2 linked regions of the Macaca mulatta genome follow. The protein of the gene in region 2 interacts with the protein of the main gene of each other region in a biochemical or structural test. Links are inferred from orthologs where the notes say so. Each region holds a gene or a part of one and is shown on either strand. Other genes may lie near its edges.

Region 1 (3,648 bases), on a different chromosome or scaffold from region 2:
TTGTCTTCATTATGTTTTTTCAATAACTAACTCTTACATTTAAATAAGCAACCCAAGATAAATTCCACTTTCAAGTAGGATTAAACAAGTAGAAGATTTCATGCTTCTCGTTTATCACCTGGCAAAGGAAACTTCCCCTCCAAGCAACTATCTCTAGTTCTAAGGAACAACGCAGTCACTCTCCAAGGTAGCAAAACATATACATTTCACATTCCAAACAACTATATTTTTCAACAGAATAACAACCCTCATTTGAATCTTTTTTTAAAAAACTACTTTATTGAGGTATGACTGACACACAAAAAACCTTCATTGAAATCTTGCCAGCTTGTAACGATGATCCTTTGATGGTGGCATAAAAAAAAAATCCTCACCTTATGTGAGCTTGGTCTGCTGTAATACGGTGGTGGTGTGTGGTGCTGGCTGCTGCTGCTATGATTTCCTGCTTCTCTAATGGTGTTACCAGCCTGGGGCTTCCCTGGTCTAGCAATTGTTAAATTCACTCTCTCCCCACTGGCCTGGAGAAAACACAAATACATTACCACAAGTGACTAATGATGTTTGTAATTTTAAAGATTACACACAGTATAACTTTCAATGCACTTCTCAATCACGGTACCAGGGGATCATCTGGGCAGTGACTGCAAGCACCTGGTGGCAAGAGGAATGAGTTCGTTTCATTAGCTAATATCTTAAAACTGCTGCAGTTGAAGCGCATACACACAAAATTCTTGGGCATGCCCTCTGCAACCCCACCTCCAAAATGACCAAGGCAAAGTGGTCACACTGCCTGGGTTCTTATCTCCCCATGACTGGTAACTTTTCTTGTAATACTTCTTTGCATCTTCAAGGTTGGCCTTGATATTGCAAGACAGAGCAAAGGAAAGAAAATAAAAGGAAGAACTGCTTCGAAACTTGATTAAAGTCCATTGTGACTTCTGAAATAAATTTCCATGGTGGCTACTTCCGAAATAATAATGAAATTCTGCACAGCTTTGTTTCTGCCTCTATAGGTCTGAGTCAAAAATAGGACATCAGCATCAACATTCTTGAAAAGAATGACTACAGAAATCCTGCATAACAAGACTTTGTATGTATGTGTGTGTATATATATAGCATATGTGTGTGAATGTGACACACACATCTCAAGTGTTAAATTATTTTAGAGGTTCATGACTATCGTTTTAAATTTAGAGGCTTGTTAGCTATCATATTTTGAACATACGTTTACATTGGTTACATTTTTACAAGTTATTTAATGCTTCCTTTTAAAGTAAAAGTCTAATTTATTTGATGCTGACTCTTCGTCATGACCACAATGCCATTTTACTGTAATTCCTACAGGAAAATATGATAGCCTGCTTTAAAGAAATTGTGGTACAAAGTGGAGACCTCTCCCGTGATTCTAGTCAATAATGTTAAAAAATCACTTTATTTTCAATTCTTACATTAGAAAATAAGTGAGAAACAAGTTTAATGCCTTACTAAAATCATTTACTATTGGTCTCCTTTTAAGACATGGAGTATATGTTATTTTTTAAAATCCAAAAACAATAAGGCTTTTACTTATTTTCAAAAGGAAACAAATTGAGCAACTTCAGTTTTCCATTATTTGGAGAAAATTATAGCACAAAATACGATGAAACTATAACATCCAAATATAAAATATGATCATAGACAATTTAAAATATATTTTCTACCTGTGTATCTGTATTTTTTTCACATTTTGGTTAGAAATTTAGTTAGAATCATCCAAATGAATGAACTAGATGAGATAATTTAAACGTTGCCTGAAATACATATAGTCTATCTATTATTTTCTGTCTTATTGATCCGGCCTCTCACTTGACTCTTTCACTCAAACAAATGCTACAACTCTATTAGCTTTCTTCTTCCTCCTCGTCCTTTCTCCCCTCCCTCCCACCAATCTCCGCTCTTTCAAGATGAGCTGGGTTTTAGTGGTGCAGCTGCTGGCTGATATCCACAGACATAGGTCCTAATGTTGCCTTTAATCTGAGGAAATTTTAAGGCATCCAATTTCTTTAAGCCTCAAGTCTATGAAATTACACCAATATCAGAATCTCCTCTCAATACAATAAAGAGGGTTGAGACCAGGGTTTTCTTTTTTTTTTTTTTTTTTGAGACGGAGTCTCGCTCTGTCACCCAGGCTGGAGTGCAGTGGCCCGATCTCGGCTCACTGCAAGCTCCGCCTCCCGGGTTTACGCCATTCTCCTGCCTCAGCCTCCTGAGTAGCTGGGACTACAGGCGCCGCCACCGCGCCCGGCTAATTTTTTGTATTTTTAGTAGAGATGGGGTTTCACCGTGGTCTCGATCTCCTGACCTTGTGATCCGCCCGCCTCGGCCTCCCAAAGTGCTGGGATTACAGGCGTGAGCCACCGCGCCCGGCCGAGACCAGGGTTTTCTTATAGTCTTAAATTTTCATTGTTATTTCCGTGTTGTAAACACATTTTTCAATGACTATCGGCCTAGCCTACTTCCTGATGCTCAAGGACATAATTCCTGGTTTCCTTTACAGTGTTTTGTTTTGCTGACTTTAAGGAAAACTTCTCTTTGTTGCATCCTTATCACTGGAGAAGTTGCTCATACCATTAAATGCTATGGCATGTTGCAGAACGTGTAGATCTTGCCTGGAGGACTTTCCAACTTACCTGTCTTCATGCTTTTGTGAAAAACATGTTCCTCCTCTAATCATGACTATCCTTACTTACGTCCCAAAGATGCTATGAGGACAAATTTTATCATGTATTTTAAACACCGTGAATTCCTTAAAAACAACAACAAAGCACTACCGAGATAAGAGTTACTCTTCCCCTATTTATGTAGATCCTGACAGGGAGTTAAGAGACCAGGTAAGTCAGATCCTTGGTAATCACAGCTCTTTTAAGCCTCCCTTTCCTCACTTCTAAAAGGTGGACACTACCATCTGCTACATCTGGCTTAATAATAGAACCCAGGACCCAAATGAGAAATGAGTATGAAACAGTAGAGCCTACGCTCTGTAAATAATCATCCCCAAAGTTCACAGGGATACAGTTTTTAGAAAAGACTATCTCCAATGAAGCTATACTAGTGTGGATTTTAAAGAATTCAGGTAGCCATACCTGATTTTCTAACGAAATATAAAATGTCCCCTGAATTCTGATGTTATTGGCCAATGAAAACAAATACTGCTATACGATCATTTCGGCCAAGCCTTTGGAATGAAGGCCCAGAGGGTTTACCTGAATAATCTGGGCAGCAAGCTCCGGAGTTCCATGCTTCAGGTCGTGCCCATTGATGGCCAGCACTCGGTCATTGCTGCAGAGCCTGCCGTCCTGCGCAGCCAACCCCCCTTCCAGCAGGTCAAGAATAAAAACCCCTGGCTCATCTGTCCTTCGCACCAATTTAATGCCAAGCTGTTCACCAGAGTCCCGTTTGTGAAGAACCACTTGGAAAATCTCTTCTCGCGGAGAGTTACTATCAGAATGGTTGTGTGCTCGGTTGCCAAAGCGCCTCTCTCGAAGCACAGTAAGATGCAGTGTGTTGCACGGCTGGGAAAGGACAGCTCTGGCATAGTTATGGGACACGTTGCTGATATTGTAGTTGTTGACCTAGAAAAAAAGAATTGTGACAAAACTGTGACAACCT
Region 2 (4,133 bases):
GGAAACTAAGAAATGCATGCCCTAGTCCTAATGTTTCATTTACACTTCATCCCTCTCTCCATTGTTAGTGGACACGTTTACTCCTTTGCAGTGAAAGGCTGCTTTCTTGGGGTAAGGGTGTCAACCCTAGCAGAGGATTTCAGTGATCTTTCTGGCGGCGAAGCTTACGCCATGTGTTTAAACATCATTTTATGAAGAAGTACGCTGTGAGTGGACTCAGGGACATGCCCTGCACCTTTCTTCCCAGTCCCTGGGCCACCAGCTACCCAACCACCTCGGTTGTTCCAGAAGTGAAGGCTCACCATGGTGTGGCTTATATAATACACATAGTGCTATGATCCCTGTGGATAATTAAAGCTAGGTCCCTTTATATGCCTAGGACAAGTTAACAACCCTTTCACGGTTGTGTTTTCAAAAGGATGACAACTACTTTCCCATTGTACTTTTGTACATTTACATCAAACACTCCCAACTACAGTGTCTCCTAATACGGACCCCTGGGCTAATTAGCAGCTTAGTGTGATTGTTTCAATTTTTCAGCGACCAATTAAGTAGTTGCTCTAGACAGAACTGACAACACAATGTGAATTTTAAAAACCGCGATCTGCTGGTTGAGGGGAGAAAGCCAAACCCAGTAAAGAAAGTGGGGGCAGGGCGAGGCTGTGAGTGGCTCTGTTTCTGCTAGCAGAATACTGGGTCTTAAATTCAGATTAAATCACAGCTTACCTGACGAGTATCCCCCGCCCTTCCCACTAGTAAAATAATAACAATAATTTAAAAAGAGCAGAGCATCTGGGTTACTGCAACGGGAAGCGAGACCTTTAACCATAGCCACCCTACTCGCTCATTGCGAGGCACCTGTTAGATGCGCTCTTGTACCCTGATCCCCATACAGAGAGACAGCTCCACACCTGCATTTACCCTTCAGCCTAAATGGATTCCCATCAAGCCTTTCCCACTTCAGTGTCGGATCCACAGAGGCACCGAACCGCAGCCACTCTCCAGAAGCACTCTCAGCCCCTCCGTCCCCTAAGGGAGATTTAAAAGTGGTCGCCCCCACTCGCCCTCCCCTCAGCCAGCATCTCCATCTAGGGAAGGAATTTCAGTTGTCTCCCGAAGGCCAAAAGCGAAAAGGTGAGGGATGCACTGAGAGAAGAGAAGAGAAGATACCCAACTCACTCCCCTCCCCACTCACCCACGCGTCCGCTCCCGGCTCCCCCCTCCGCCTGCTTGGGTCTGGCGGTCAGGTGAGGTTACCTGGGCTCCCCGAGAAGCCCCGAGGGGCGCTGCAGTCCTTCTTTTTCGAAATCGCCCCGCTCCCCGCCGGGCCCCCAGGACTCTTGCCCCTCTCCCCCCCGCGCGCGTCCCCGGCCCCTCGGGCTCCGACGCGCAGCGACAGCCGCACAGCGCGCTCTGCTCCCCTCCGCCGACCTGGCGTGACGCAGGCGGAGACTACTTAAGGGCGGATTAGAGGCGGCGGCCGCGGATCCCCGAGCCCGGCATTCGGCTCCGCGCGCTCAGCCCCGGCCTCGCAGGCTGCCGCGCCGGAGCGCCAGGTGCCCGCCGAAGTAGCAGGAACAGAGCCGGTGCCCGGACCCTCCCCCGGCCCCCAACCTGCGGCAGAGAGCGGCGCCGAGACCCCTCCTGGGCGGGCGAGCGCTCAAAGACCTGCAGGCTGCCACCCCGCCCCTCGTCCAGGCGTCCGCGGGATCCAGACCCGAACCCCGGACGGCGCCCGAGGTTCGTGCTCTCTCTCTGGACCGCGCCAACTGCCCCATCGGTCCGGACGCGTTTGGATTTCTTTCCCCATTTCTTCTGTTTTAAGTACAATAATAGGAAAGGGGGATTCGAGGATTTTTTTTAAAAAATGCTTCTTTAATTGGGAGGCAATTCACTCCCATTCTGGAGGTGCGGCCCGGGGAGGGGCCAGGAGCAGGAACGTGCCCGGTGCTGCCCAGTCTTTGTCTGCTGCCTCCGGATGCACAGCGATGGGGGAATGGACCATCTTGGAGAGGCTGCTGGAAGCCGCGGTGCAGCAGCACTCCACTATGATCGGGAGGTAAGGGCGACAAGCCGGCAGTCAGCGGGCCCCGTCGGGCGGCCCCGGGAGTCCCTTCTCACACCCGGACTGAATCCCCCGCTCCAACCCCCAGCCCGTCCTCTGCCTCCTCCCCATCGTCCTAAGTCAAGGCTCCGGTGTTCCTGGCGATGAGGGATTACTCCTGACCAACTGCCCATCCCTTCCCCATCAAGCACCACTGGGGCTTCACTCTTCCCACATCAGAAAAGAAGCCGCTGGCTCAGTCTTGGTCCCTCCACTCTCCAGAGTCAGAGCCAATCTCCATCCGGTTCCCTAAATAGAATCTACAAAGAAGGCAGGATTGCATTTGGACAGAGAAAGGCAAATGGGGAGATGGATTTGCTCTTCAGAGCAGATGCCTCTTTTCTCAACAAATAATTACTAAACTAAACTTATTTGGCCGTGTAAACTTACCGAGCCTACACACCCAATTGCCATTTTTGTGTCTGTATATCTATGTCTCTAGAGTTCAATATATATAAATATATATTCATAGCCATCTGCTTATATAAAGCATTAAATTTAATATTCATGTTGAGAATAAACTAAATATACCCATGGAGTAGTTACATGTAACACACCCTGTGTGTAGACCTTGAAGCATGCACCGTCTGTAAAGGTATTCTGTGTGCATTTGCCATATCCAGAGTGAAGGTGTGTTTTGTGTTTCTATACATTCTATATAGAGAGATGAAATCTATCTGTTCCAAGTAGACTATGTCCAGTGTATGATGTTGTGTGTACCTGGGATCTCTATAATATGAAATGTTCCCAGCTTACCAGCACTCAGCAGAAAAGGAAGAGACAAAAAGCTTTCCCAGATTCCCAGTTCAGTACCAGCCGGGGATGGACAGCTCCCCAGTCAAACGACTGGAAAACATCAGCAAAGGGAAGGGAGGAGCAGGGGTTTCCTGTCAGTGACGCAGCCCGTGAGAACCTCTCTCCCTCCCTCTTCCTCTGCTCAGGATCCTGTTGACTGTGGTAGTGATCTTCCGGATCCTCATTGTGGCCATTGTGGGGGAGACGGTGTACGATGATGAGCAGACCATGTTTGTGTGCAACACCCTGCAACCCGGCTGTAACCAGGCCTGCTACGACCGCGCCTTCCCCATCTCCCACATACGTTACTGGGTCTTCCAGATCATAATGGTGTGTACCCCCAGTCTTTGCTTCATCACCTACTCTGTGCATCAGTCCGCCAAGCAGCGAGAACGCCGCTACTCTACTGTCTTCCTAGCCCTGGACAGAGACCCCCCCGAGTCCATAGGAGGTCCTGGAGGAACTGGGGGTGGGGGCAGTGGTGGGGGCAAACGAGAAGATAAGAAGTTGCAAAATGCTATTGTCAATGGGGTGCTGCAGAACACAGAGAACACCAGTAAGGAGACAGAGCCAGATTGTTTAGAGGTTAAGGAGCTGACTCCACACCCATCAGGGCTACGCACTGCATCAAAATCCAAGCTCAGAAGGCAGGAAGGCATCTCCCGCTTCTACATTATCCAAGTGGTGTTCCGAAATGCCCTGGAAATTGGGTTCCTGGTAGGCCAATATTTTCTCTATGGATTTAGTGTCCCAGGGCTGTATGAGTGTAACCGCTACCCCTGCATCAAGGAGGTGGAATGTTATGTGTCCCGGCCAACTGAGAAGACTGTCTTCCTAGTGTTCATGTTTGCTGTAAGTGGCATCTGTGTTGTGCTCAACCTGGCTGAACTCAACCACCTGGGATGGCGCAAGATCAAGCTGGCTGTGCGAGGGGCTCAGGCCAAGAGAAAGTCAATCTATGAGATTCGTAACAAGGACCTGCCCAGGGTCAGTGTTCCCAATTTTGGCAGGACTCAGTCCAGTGACTCTGCCTATGTGTGAGAGGGAAGGTTTCACAAAGGTCTTGGGGATGGCAAGAGCCCCAAGGCAGATGACTGCTCAGAGGTGGCTGTGTCCACCCTCATTTATGTGACTCTCACCATTAAGATGTAGGATAAGACTGGATAAAAGAAGATTTTGCATCAATGGGAGAAGAGGAAAAGTGGAACCATTTTCACATATCACCTAATTGGTT

The links.
Region 1: the proteins of GJD2 (region 2) and LNX2 form a complex in vitro, tested with the Homo sapiens proteins (2 studies listed by BioGRID and IntAct, with this or other methods). The link is inferred for Macaca mulatta from reciprocal best matches to the Homo sapiens genes GJD2 and LNX2.

Annotation. Positions count from the first base shown.
Region 1 is NC_133422.1:7,597,592-7,601,239, forward strand, and holds part of LNX2 (ligand of Numb protein X 2), read right to left. Parts: intron 3,612-3,648; coding exon 3,243-3,611; intron 519-3,242; coding exon 375-518; intron 1-374.
Region 2 is NC_133412.1:12,070,615-12,074,747, reverse strand, and holds the start of GJD2 (gap junction delta-2 protein), read left to right. Parts: upstream 1-1,270; 5' UTR 1,271-1,988; coding exon 1,989-2,059; intron 2,060-3,045; coding exon 3,046-3,940; 3' UTR 3,941-4,133. UniProt on the Homo sapiens protein: One gap junction consists of a cluster of closely packed pairs of transmembrane channels, the connexons, through which materials of low MW diffuse from one cell to a neighboring cell.